2 linked regions of the Saccharomyces cerevisiae S288C genome follow. The gene in region 1 interacts genetically with each later gene. Each region holds a gene or a part of one and is shown on either strand. Other genes may lie near its edges. The genes, in order: AGA1 and UBR2.

Region 1 (4,777 bases):
CTTGTGAAACTTTTCCACGATGCCGAAATCGCCGAAATGGCTCGTTTAGCCTTTTCTCGAAGATTGATATATAAAGAGCATCCATCGTGCTGGTAATGGTGATGCAAGATTGAAAATTCCCAGACAGTGAGCACCAGCACAATGACCGTTTACACAGCATCCGTTACCGCACCCGTCAACATCGCAACCCTTAAGTATTGGGGGAAAAGGGACACGAAGTTGAATCTGCCCACCAATTCGTCCATATCAGTGACTTTATCGCAAGATGACCTCAGAACGTTGACCTCTGCGGCTACTGCACCTGAGTTTGAACGCGACACTTTGTGGTTAAATGGAGAACCACACAGCATCGACAATGAAAGAACTCAAAATTGTCTGCGCGACCTACGCCAATTAAGAAAGGAAATGGAATCGAAGGACGCCTCATTGCCCACATTATCTCAATGGAAACTCCACATTGTCTCCGAAAATAACTTTCCTACAGCAGCTGGTTTAGCTTCCTCCGCTGCTGGCTTTGCTGCATTGGTCTCTGCAATTGCTAAGTTATACCAATTACCACAGTCAACTTCAGAAATATCTAGAATAGCAAGAAAGGGGTCTGGTTCAGCTTGTAGATCGTTGTTTGGCGGATACGTGGCCTGGGAAATGGGAAAAGCTGAAGATGGTCATGATTCCATGGCAGTACAAATCGCAGACAGCTCTGACTGGCCTCAGATGAAAGCTTGTGTCCTAGTTGTCAGCGATATTAAAAAGGATGTGAGTTCCACTCAGGGTATGCAATTGACCGTGGCAACCTCCGAACTATTTAAAGAAAGAATTGAACATGTCGTACCAAAGAGATTTGAAGTCATGCGTAAAGCCATTGTTGAAAAAGATTTCGCCACCTTTGCAAAGGAAACAATGATGGATTCCAACTCTTTCCATGCCACATGTTTGGACTCTTTCCCTCCAATATTCTACATGAATGACACTTCCAAGCGTATCATCAGTTGGTGCCACACCATTAATCAGTTTTACGGAGAAACAATCGTTGCATACACGTTTGATGCAGGTCCAAATGCTGTGTTGTACTACTTAGCTGAAAATGAGTCGAAACTCTTTGCATTTATCTATAAATTGTTTGGCTCTGTTCCTGGATGGGACAAGAAATTTACTACTGAGCAGCTTGAGGCTTTCAACCATCAATTTGAATCATCTAACTTTACTGCACGTGAATTGGATCTTGAGTTGCAAAAGGATGTTGCCAGAGTGATTTTAACTCAAGTCGGTTCAGGCCCACAAGAAACAAACGAATCTTTGATTGACGCAAAGACTGGTCTACCAAAGGAATAAGATCAATTCGATATGTAACATTTTTCTTTTCTTTTCTTTTCCTTTTTTTACAATAGCTAATTTACGTTTCCCTACGGTATTGGTCGGAACGACCAAGCTTCAATTTATAAATATCTTAATTTTAACAGCAGTTACCACTTGAATGAGAAACTTTTTGATGCCTACTCTTTTGCTTTTTCATATCATGACCTCCCTACATGCTTCGGAATTTCCTTATTCGTAGCTGTCTAACAGCACCACTTAGCACAAGTACGTCCACCCGTTTCATACTTAAAGATCTCAGCAGCCACCCAATCTACATTTAGGGTACCTGTCACATATCTTCTCAAATTTTAGGTTAGCTTTCAATTGTAAAGTCTCTTTTTGGATATTGCACGTTTCAAGTCAAAACGCGGCTGTAACATAATTTTCTGAAACAATATTAAAACATAGTAATGACTTAAAACAAGCGACTATCGCAAATAAGCAGTTCCCAGCAAGCAATTAAAACGTATATAAGCGCAGAATAATGATCTATCATCAATAATTATCGTGAACTTTTCCAGTATTTACGTTCATCTTTGAAAAACGGCGAGCATTAACAATAAAAGCTAAAAAAACCAAAAAATTTCAGATGACATTATCTTTCGCTCATTTTACCTACCTGTTCACAATATTGTTGGGATTAACTAATATTGCCTTGGCATCTGATCCAGAAACGATTCTAGTGACGATAACCAAGACAAACGATGCAAATGGGGTTGTTACAACTACAGTTTCACCCGCGCTAGTCTCCACATCCACTATCGTTCAAGCTGGCACTACGACATTGTATACGACTTGGTGTCCATTGACGGTATCCACTTCATCTGCTGCCGAAATAAGTCCTTCAATATCGTACGCTACTACCCTATCCAGATTTAGTACTTTGACATTATCTACAGAAGTCTGCTCCCATGAGGCATGTCCTTCGTCATCGACGTTGCCAACCACCACCTTATCTGTGACTTCCAAGTTCACTTCATATATTTGCCCTACTTGTCACACAACCGCTATCAGCTCATTATCCGAAGTAGGAACTACAACCGTGGTATCATCCAGCGCCATTGAACCATCAAGTGCCTCTATAATCTCACCTGTCACCTCTACACTTTCGAGTACAACATCGTCCAATCCAACTACTACCTCCCTAAGTTCGACATCTACATCTCCAAGCTCTACATCTACATCTCCAAGCTCTACATCTACCTCATCAAGTTCGACATCTACCTCATCAAGTTCGACATCTACCTCATCAAGTTCGACATCTACATCTCCAAGTTCGACATCCACATCTTCAAGTTTGACATCCACATCTTCAAGTTCTACATCTACATCCCAAAGTTCTACATCTACCTCATCAAGTTCGACATCTACATCTCCAAGCTCTACATCTACCTCATCAAGTTCAACATCTACATCTCCAAGTTCTAAATCTACTTCTGCAAGCTCCACTTCCACTTCTTCATATTCAACATCTACATCCCCAAGTTTGACTTCTTCATCTCCAACTTTGGCTTCCACTTCTCCAAGTTCAACATCTATTAGCTCTACTTTTACTGATTCAACTTCATCCCTTGGCTCCTCTATAGCATCTTCATCAACGTCTGTGTCATTATACAGCCCATCCACACCTGTTTACTCCGTCCCTTCGACTTCGTCAAATGTTGCAACTCCTTCTATGACTTCTTCAACTGTTGAAACAACTGTTAGTTCACAAAGTTCGTCTGAATATATCACCAAATCCTCAATTTCTACTACTATCCCATCATTTTCCATGTCTACATATTTCACCACTGTTAGTGGAGTCACTACAATGTATACGACATGGTGTCCTTATAGCTCTGAATCTGAGACTAGCACATTAACCAGTATGCATGAAACGGTTACAACAGACGCTACAGTCTGCACTCACGAGTCTTGCATGCCCTCGCAGACAACAAGTTTGATTACATCTTCTATAAAAATGTCCACTAAAAACGTCGCAACTTCTGTAAGCACCTCAACGGTTGAATCCTCATATGCATGCTCCACATGTGCTGAAACGTCACACTCGTATTCTTCCGTGCAAACAGCTTCATCAAGTTCTGTAACACAGCAGACCACATCCACAAAGAGTTGGGTAAGTTCAATGACAACTTCGGATGAAGATTTCAATAAGCACGCTACCGGTAAGTATCATGTAACATCTTCAGGTACCTCAACCATTTCGACTAGTGTAAGTGAAGCCACGAGTACATCAAGCATTGACTCAGAATCTCAAGAACAATCATCACACTTATTATCGACATCGGTCCTTTCATCCTCCTCCTTGTCTGCTACATTATCCTCTGACAGTACTATTTTGCTATTCAGTTCTGTATCATCACTAAGTGTCGAACAGTCACCAGTTACCACACTTCAAATTTCTTCAACATCAGAGATTTTACAACCCACTTCTTCCACAGCTATTGCTACAATATCTGCCTCTACATCATCACTTTCCGCAACATCTATCTCTACACCATCTACCTCTGTGGAATCGACTATTGAATCTTCATCATTGACTCCGACGGTATCTTCTATTTTCCTCTCATCATCATCTGCTCCCTCTTCTCTACAAACATCTGTTACCACTACAGAAGTTTCCACTACTTCAATCTCCATACAATACCAAACTTCATCAATGGTAACAATTAGCCAATATATGGGCAGTGGATCGCAAACGCGTTTGCCATTAGGAAAGTTGGTCTTCGCCATCATGGCAGTTGCTTGCAATGTAATTTTCAGTTAATATCAGAACAATTTAATTCATTTATATAAACATATACAATCAATCGAATAAAAATACAACAATGTAATGAAAACGCTCTCTATTGATATGTATTTGCTGACGCTTATAAATTTATTAAAGTTTTATTTTAAACCGTTCTAGTGACTTCACGCGGGGAGATACATCCAATAGTAAATTACAAAATAAGGAAAGTATAAAACAAACGGATAACAACAGTAGCTTGGAGACAGCAAAGGCACCCGAGCAGGCGTGGAAACACACGATGCATTTGAAAAAGGGGAAGAGGAGTATTAGCACAGTATGGCGACTTTTATGGAAGCGTTTTTATTCCGTAAACTCTAAGACGAATATGCATTTTTCTCGAAGTAGGAAGAAACCAGTGACAAACTTCACAAGGACAAACGGACTTCTCCTGAGCTGTAATGGTGATACATTCCCATATCTGCGTACACTGTGGAGATACTTCAATGCGCCTGGTAATTTGATGTTTGTCACAACTAATATTGTCGCATTTATGGGCATTGTTACGTATAATACGCTGGTTACTATCAGCAGTGAAAGAGCATTCGAAGAGCAGATGATGGCGGCACAGGTGAGCCTGGCGAAACAGAGAGAAGAGCTCGAGACTACGGCCCTCAGCTTGCCACGAGATAT
Region 2 (8,047 bases), on another chromosome or scaffold:
TTGAGCCAGCATGTCCAATTCCTCGTCCAGCTCATCTTCATCCACCTCGTTTGCCCCAGTAATTAAAGGCCTGGATATAGCGTCGCTTATTTCATCTCCTAATTCGACTTGCTCCCTTATCTCGTCCATAGTTTCATCCACTTTATCTATGTCAAGGCCACTGTGAATAGTTTTCATTGCCTTAGCACCTTCCTGCATAGCCCTCATTGTCTCTAGATTTAAGTTTGCACTTTCTATAGAGAATAGCTGCTGTTCCATAGACTCCATTGTGCCTTCTACCTTACTTAAAAGTTGTTCGATTGTCTTCTTCTTTTTAAGTGCATTCTTCGCCATTACTTTATTGCCCTTCGTCAAAAAGATTCTAGCTTCATTCTCTTGATTTGTAATTTGAGTACGTAAATGCGATTGCTTTTTGGATAGAAGGTTGATATGCTCCCTCAACCGCACTATGGCCTTTGTTGGTGACTCTTTATTCTTGGCATTACTTGATGTCCAACCAAAAAGTGATGACCACATGCCTTATTTATCAATACTGTTATGTTTCTGCTGCTTCCGTCCGAAATACAATATCTTACCCTTTAGAAGCTCGTACTTCCCCTGCTCTGCCAACTATTCATGATTCGAAATCACCCACCGACTTATTTAAAAATCCCATCTTTTATCAAAAGGGTCGAACATGAATCGTATAAAATGATGCATATAACAAAAGCTATGTAGTATATATATTTGCTATTACTTACCAACATTAAGCATTGGTTAGTTACGGAACTCCATCGTTGTCGTTACTCTGCTCACCCCCACCTCAATAACTACTTTACATAAGTATGCGGCATATAACAATATGACAAGTCATCCTATAATTAAAAAAGTTAACTGTCACCATAGCATAACCGCCAAGCGCTAAATTAAGGGGGAAAGAAAAGAACGGTGTTGAACGCAAGCTATCTACCTCTTTCTTTGATGCGGTTGAAATATTATACTCGAATAACAACCATTTATAGAGGCGAAATCACTAGAATGGCCGGCTTAGTATAAACAATACCGAGTACGCCAATTTTATGGTACACAGTTTATACGTAATACTGATTTCCGACGAAGCCGCAATTGTAAGTCAAAACTTGAATTAATTAGTCTCACATGGCTGACATAACGAAGAATAAAATTAGGGAAAATACCGCCAAAATTTATCCCCCGTTTAGAGGAAGGTGATGACTCGACTCATCAATTTTCAATCTACATATAGCTACGTATTCATGCCACTCACTTCTTAGGATGTTAGATGTAACAAACCGAGCAATCATAAGGCCCATGTTATAATATTTGCGGGGCAAGTGTTACTGGTCCTAGATCCTAATTGCCCGTTTCTTCACTAGATGTGCAAAAAGCACACCATCACTTATCACGTTGTGGTGACAACGGCGGCAATTTCCAGTGGCGTTTGTTGAACTTTTAGGCGATATCAATAAAGAGCATCGTCAATGTACAGCTGTGGGGAGAAACCCAATAATCAACGCATTCATACTTTCAATTGCTTGGCATATTACTAACAACTCTATAAAAAAAAAAAGTTGCTCAAGCTTTTTAAAAAAAAGAGCCGGCTTTTTTTTCTAATTATTATCATTTACTCGTCTCTGATAGTAAAGGTAAGATTCGTTAACTAAATTAATAGCTACTTAACAAGCACGCATGGAAGATTCTGACCTGTCTATAACCAATATAAGAGATTTTCTTACCGAGCTCCCCAAACTCGCGAAATGCGAATATAGCGAAACCACTAGTTATTTACTATGGAAAACCTTAAATCTACGCCTTAAGCATAGTGATAACGATATAAACTGGCGCTCTCTCGTTTCAATACTCAATTCTGAAGCCTGGGAAAACGAAAAGTACAGAGACATACTAAATGGAAGAAAGTGGAGGACCCTGGAGTTCGAGAATGACCACCACTCTGTGGGTAATATGCATATTGGAACAGCGTGTACGCGTTTATGCTTCCCCTCTGAGACAATTTATTACTGTTTTACGTGCTCCACAAATCCATTGTATGAAATATGTGAGCTTTGTTTCGATAAAGAAAAACATGTAAATCATTCTTATGTTGCTAAAGTGGTAATGCGCCCAGAAGGCAGAATATGCCATTGTGGTGACCCCTTTGCCTTTAATGACCCAAGCGACGCGTTCAAGTGCAAGAACGAATTAAATAATATTCCTATTTCTAACGACAATAGTAACGTAACCGATGATGAAAACGTAATCTCCCTATTGAATTATGTTCTGGATTTTTTAATTGATGTAACTGTTTCATACAAAGAGGAGGCAGAAGCCCATTCAAGCGAGAGAAAAGCATCCTCCCTAATGCATCCTAATCAAAACAGCATTACTGATGATATAATGGAAAAACACGAATGTGAACCATTGGTCAATGATGAAAATTTTGTTTTCTTTGATAACAATTGGTCCAATACGAGAAAAGAAGCACATATGGAGTGGGCTATTCAAATCGAAGAAGAAGAGTGTAACGTACACTACATGGATTTAGCATCTACAATAACAAGAATTTTGAATACACCGGTTGAATATGCAATCTCAATAACGAAGGCTTTAGAAGATTCACACGATGTAGTGACTGTGCTACAAAGTGAGAATTTTTTCGAAATAGATCAAATAGCCAAGGAGTTTCAAAAGGAAAACATAGTAGTTCATGTAAGAAAAGCGGATGATATATTCAAGAGAAAGTTAACAGATGATTTAACAGATTGGTTATATTCTCTGTGCTTTAAGGCGGCCACGTCTTTGCAAAATAAATATGCTCTTAGAATTTCCATGCTAGATGTTTGGTATTCCCATTTTTCTAAAATGAGAGTATCTCCCACAAATACCAATCCTGACTTTTCTAAGATTAACTTATTAGGTGGATTCTTAATATCTAACGAAGATAGTGATGAATCATGGTTTAAACCTTGGTCATTAGAGAACATTGAAGACGAAAGAATTTCAAAAATACTCACTAATTACAATGAAAGGTTGATCAGAGCCCATTCGCCGAACACAGTAAGCCATTTCTACAATTTCTATGGATCTAGATTCCAATATATTATCATCAATTCTATTAATATCCTCTCAAAAAAATCTAAATTCAAAATGTTAAAGATCATGGCGTCATTATTCTCGTTAAGGGATGAAAGCAGAAAGTTTCTTGCCGCACAATATATTGATGTTTATCTATCGGTCTTGTATGATGCAGTTGCATCAGATGCTAAAGAATGTCAGGTAACTCTTATGAGTATATTAGGGCAATACACTTTCCAAGACCCCAGCATAGCAAATATGACTATAAGCTCGGGATTCATTGAACGAACTATTAGATTTGCTTTTACTCTCATGGCATTCAATCCAGAAGACTTGATGTCATATTTGCCCATCTCTTTATACAATGGCTTTAAGTTGCCCACCGAAACAATACGAAATCGAAGGACAATTATTTGCTTTAAAGACCTTTGTACGATAATGTCAGCGAACACTGTTCCGGAAGAACTACTTTCAAATGAGGCAATTTTTAACGCAATAATTGAGTCCTTCTCTGAATTCAGTAACGTGCTGCCATTGAAAAGGGAAACTAAAGAACACGTGGAGGTTGAAAACTTTGATTTTTCTGCATTTTATTTTTTTTTCTCATCAATACTAATAATGACAGATGGATACACACGTAGTATATCTTTGGTCAAAGATGCGGCTTTCCGTAAGCAAATCGTCCTTAAACTACTTGATGTTGCTCAAACCAGGGAATTTGAATCACTAACCAATTCTAGAAAAGCTATATCACCTGATAACGCATCAACGAATGAAAATGATTCGAACAAAGCGACTTTGTCTACAGTCAGAGAGACGATATGCAATTATGTCGCAGAGACTATTAATTTCCAGGTAGGTGTAAATACACAGTATTTTTTCAATCCAATGTCATATTTGTTCAAATTTGTTATTCAATGGAGTCAATGTGGTAGATATGAGCCAATTCCTGCTTCTTTGACAAACTACATTAATCTCTTCGAAGTTTTTCAAGATAAGCAGAAGGCTTTATATATATCAGAATCTGCTTTGTCAACCCTAGTCCTAATCGGGCAAATAAACGTCGGTTTCTGGGTAAGAAACGGAACTCCAATTACTCACCAGGCCCGGATGTATACAAAATACAGTATGCGAGAATTTACTTATATTAGTGACATTTTCAATGTGCAATTTAGTATGGCAATGTGCAATCCTGATGAACTGATGGTTACTTACCTCTCAAGGTGGGGTTTGAAGCACTGGGCAAATGGTGTACCTATGTATGATTATCCTGATACAGAAACAACTGTAGCCGTTGTTAATGAATGCATTCTGTTATTGATTCAATTGCTTACTGAAGTGAGATCATTGGTCATGAAATCATCAAAGGAAGGCTTCGAGAGAACGTTCAAATCAGAAATAATTCATGCCCTTTGCTTTGATACATGCTCTTACGCACAAATTGTTAACTGTATTCCAGAACATATCACCAAGCACCCTTCATTTGATATATATCTCGAAAAATACGCCAATTACACTTCTCCTGTAAGCTTGACTGACAATGGCATTTTCGTGTTGAAAGAAAAGTATAAAGATGAGATTGATCCTTATTATATAGGGTTGTCTTCCAGTAGGAGGTATGATGTAGAGAAAAATATCAGGCTGAATATGGCAAATTTGAAGAAAATGAAATATGAAGATACTTTTGTACCAGCAAAAAAGGTTAAAGATTTGTTGAAGAATACATTATTTTCTGGGCTGTATTCAATATCATCAGTGAATACTTTTGGTTTATTTTTGAAAAATACTTTAGATCACATTATAAAATATGATTATGACAATTTATTGCCGAGAGTGGTTCATTTGATTCATTTATGCGTGGTTAATAATCTGAATGAATTTATGGGGATACTGTGGCATGAATACGCAATTGTGGACACAGAATTCTGTCATTACCACAGCATTGGTTCTATCCTGTATTACTGTTTGTTGAAGGATAATTTTTCGGAATCTCATGGTAAGATTAGGGAAATTTTCAGGTATTTAATGGAAACAGCGCCTCACGTAAATGTAAACAGTTATTTGAGGGAGCAAACCACGTCATATACACCAGGAATATTGTGGCCTACAAAGGAAGATAAAAGCCACAAGGATAAAGAATTTGAAAGGAAAAAACATCTTGCTCGATTGAGAAAGAAAAAATTAATGAAGAAGTTGGCTCAACAGCAAATGAAATTCATGGAAAACAATAGTGTAGATACTTCCGATATTAGTACACCCAGAACCACATCACCTAGTTTATCTCCCACTAGAATAAATGCAGAGAATAGTAGTAACACAATCAACAGTTGCTGCGATGATGATTGCGTATTTTGCAAGATGCCGAAGGATGACGATGTATTTGTTTATTTTTCATACCAAGAACGGAACATATGTGATCATGGAATTGATTTTACGAATCCTACAGATGTTAATAGAATAAATTCGCTGTTCAGTGGTAAGCAAACAAAAGACAGTGCAATCCAAGAAAACCCCCAGGATGATGATGGAACGAGATTGAAATTTACTAGCTGTGAACCAGTATTAAGAGCATGCGGGCATGGGTCTCATACCAAATGTTTAAGTGGCCATATGAAGTCGATTCGCGGAATACAAAACCAAACTACAAAAAATATTCCATTATCGTATGGTTCAGGGTTGATATATTGTCCCGTATGCAATTCCTTAAGTAATTCATTTCTACCAAAAACAAATGATATAGATAAGAGAACTTCGAGCCAGTTTTTTATGTGTATTGAAAAGCGAAGTGAAGCGGAAGAAAACCTTGACCCAATGAGCTCTATTTGTATTAAAGCAGCGATGATTCTAGGTGATCTTCAGGGTAAAAAAGTCACGACTATCGAAGATGCATATAAAGTTGTTAATAGTGTTTTTATTAATACTATTTCAAATACTGAGCTCAGATTAAGATCGCACAAAAAGGAAGGAAAAATAGTGAATATGGAAAGAATATCCAGTCAGTGCATTTTAACCTTACATTTAGTTTGTGAGCTAAAGTCGTTTATTTACAAAAAATTTGTTAATTCAAAAACATTCAGCAGCGAAATCTCTCGTAAAATATGGAATTGGAATGAGTTTCTAATAAAGGGTAATAATGTGAATCTACTTTTGTATATGAGTCAAAATTTTGATAATATTGATGGAGGAAAAACCCCGCAACCGCCTAACCTATGTATCTATGAAATGTTCAAAAGAAGGTTCCATCAACTACTACTGTTGCTTGCAAGAGATATGATGAGAGTAAACTTTTACAAAGACTGTCGAAATAAAATCAAAATATCATCAAACGGATCTGAGGAACCATCGACAAGCTTTTCATATCTATTCAATACTTTTAAAAAGTATGTTGATCTCTTTAAACCAGACGACGTTCGGTTTGATTTTACAAGTTTAGAGAAAATTAAAGACTTTATATGCTCTCTATTACTAGAGTCATTGTCCATTTTTTGTAGAAGAACCTTCTTATTATTCAACATTCAGTATGATGATGATGGTGATGGTGATAATAATAATAACCGCAGCAATAATTTCATGGACGTCAAACAGCGTGAAATAGAGCTTATTTTCCGGTATTTTAAATTACCCAATTTAACTCACTTTTTGAAGGATTTTTTCTACAACGAACTAACACAAAATATAGAAAGGTATAATGATGGTAATGATAATTTGAGAATTCAGCAAGTAATATATGACATGGTGCAGAACATAAACACAAGAGCATATCCTTCACCAGAGCATATCCAGCTTATCGAACTACCATTGAACCTTTCCAAATTTTCCCTTGATAATGATGAAATATCGAATAAATGTGATAAATACGAAATCGCAGTATGCTTGTTGTGTGGCCAAAAATGCCATATTCAAAAAAGCATAGCACTGCAAGGTTATTTACAGGGGGAATGTACTGATCATATGAGAAATGGATGCGAAATCACCTCCGCTTACGGAGTTTTCTTAATGACCGGCACAAATGCGATATATCTGTCATACGGCAAAAGAGGTACATTTTATGCTGCACCTTATCTAAGTAAATACGGAGAGACCAACGAAGACTACAAATTCGGTACTCCCGTCTATTTGAATCGGGCGAGATACGCGAATCTAGCGAATGAGATTGTTTTTGGCAACATGATTCCGCACATAGTGTTCCGACTAACGGACGGCAGTGCAGATCTTGGTGGGTGGGAGACTATGTAGTTATCCAACAAATGTCTAGTCATTCAAAATTGCTACGAAATTAGCGTATCCGAAAAATCAAAAGAAATTTTATCTGTTTTAATTGGCGTGGGGAAGTGGGGTAGGGTCGAGGATCATTACGCTTTCTCGTGGGAAGGGACAGGGACGGACCGAAAAAAAAAGAAATGCCGCAGAAAAAGAAATGTTTTAGTGTGGGGTATGGGCTGAAGCTCGTATAGTGCAGGGTGACTTCACTTTTCTTTTTACCCTGCAGGAAATGGAGAAAGTGTTGATGGATAAGGTATATAGTCATAAGGTGACACAGCGTGGGTGTACATCTAGAAAGCTTGGCGATTCGAGCGAAGTGGTGGTTTACTCGTTTTATAATAAGAGTTTTTGGACATTATTTTTTCTTTAGGACACAGTTGATTCAAATTCTACACTTGTTTTGTCGTCTGGTAAAGTTTAGCCATTGTAAAGTGGACAAAGAAGAAGCTGCAACGCAGATAAGCTGAAAAATAGTTCACATCCCAACAGACAATCAAATTAAGTACATGATGGACTCGTCAAGCAAAAGCTTAACTCAGTATATACCCTCACCCATGGGATCTCTATCAAGGCTAAAGCAGAAGGGTGTGGACAATTTTCAGAAGGTGAAAAAATCCGGTAAATCCATCTATAATTACAACTACTCAAAATTCGTTCCTCATCCATTTTCAACTATTGATGAAAGTGTTAAACACTCTGAAAGTGGGCGGTATGA

The links.
Region 2: mutations in AGA1 (region 1) and UBR2 together harm fitness more than expected from each alone (negative genetic interaction), as found in Saccharomyces cerevisiae (2 studies listed by BioGRID).

The regions. Positions count from the first base shown.
Region 1 is NC_001146.8:701,754-706,530, forward strand, and holds AGA1 (Aga1p), read left to right. Parts: upstream 1-1,945; coding exon 1,946-4,123; downstream 4,124-4,777. Other genes in the region: diphosphomevalonate decarboxylase MVD1, read left to right, coding at 142-1,332; PET494 (Pet494p), read left to right, coding at 4,386-4,777. UniProt on the Saccharomyces cerevisiae protein: Cell wall anchoring subunit of the a-agglutinin heterodimer.
Region 2 is NC_001144.5:186,921-194,967, reverse strand, and holds UBR2 (putative ubiquitin-protein ligase UBR2), read left to right. Parts: upstream 1-1,686; coding exon 1,687-7,305; downstream 7,306-8,047. Other genes in the region: ESCRT-III subunit protein SNF7, read right to left, coding at 1-516; IZH3 (Izh3p), read left to right, coding at 7,839-8,047. UniProt on the Saccharomyces cerevisiae protein: E3 ubiquitin-protein ligase which probably functions outside the N-end rule pathway, since it lacks the residues essential for the degradation of N-end rule substrates. Mediates RPN4 ubiquitination and subsequent degradation.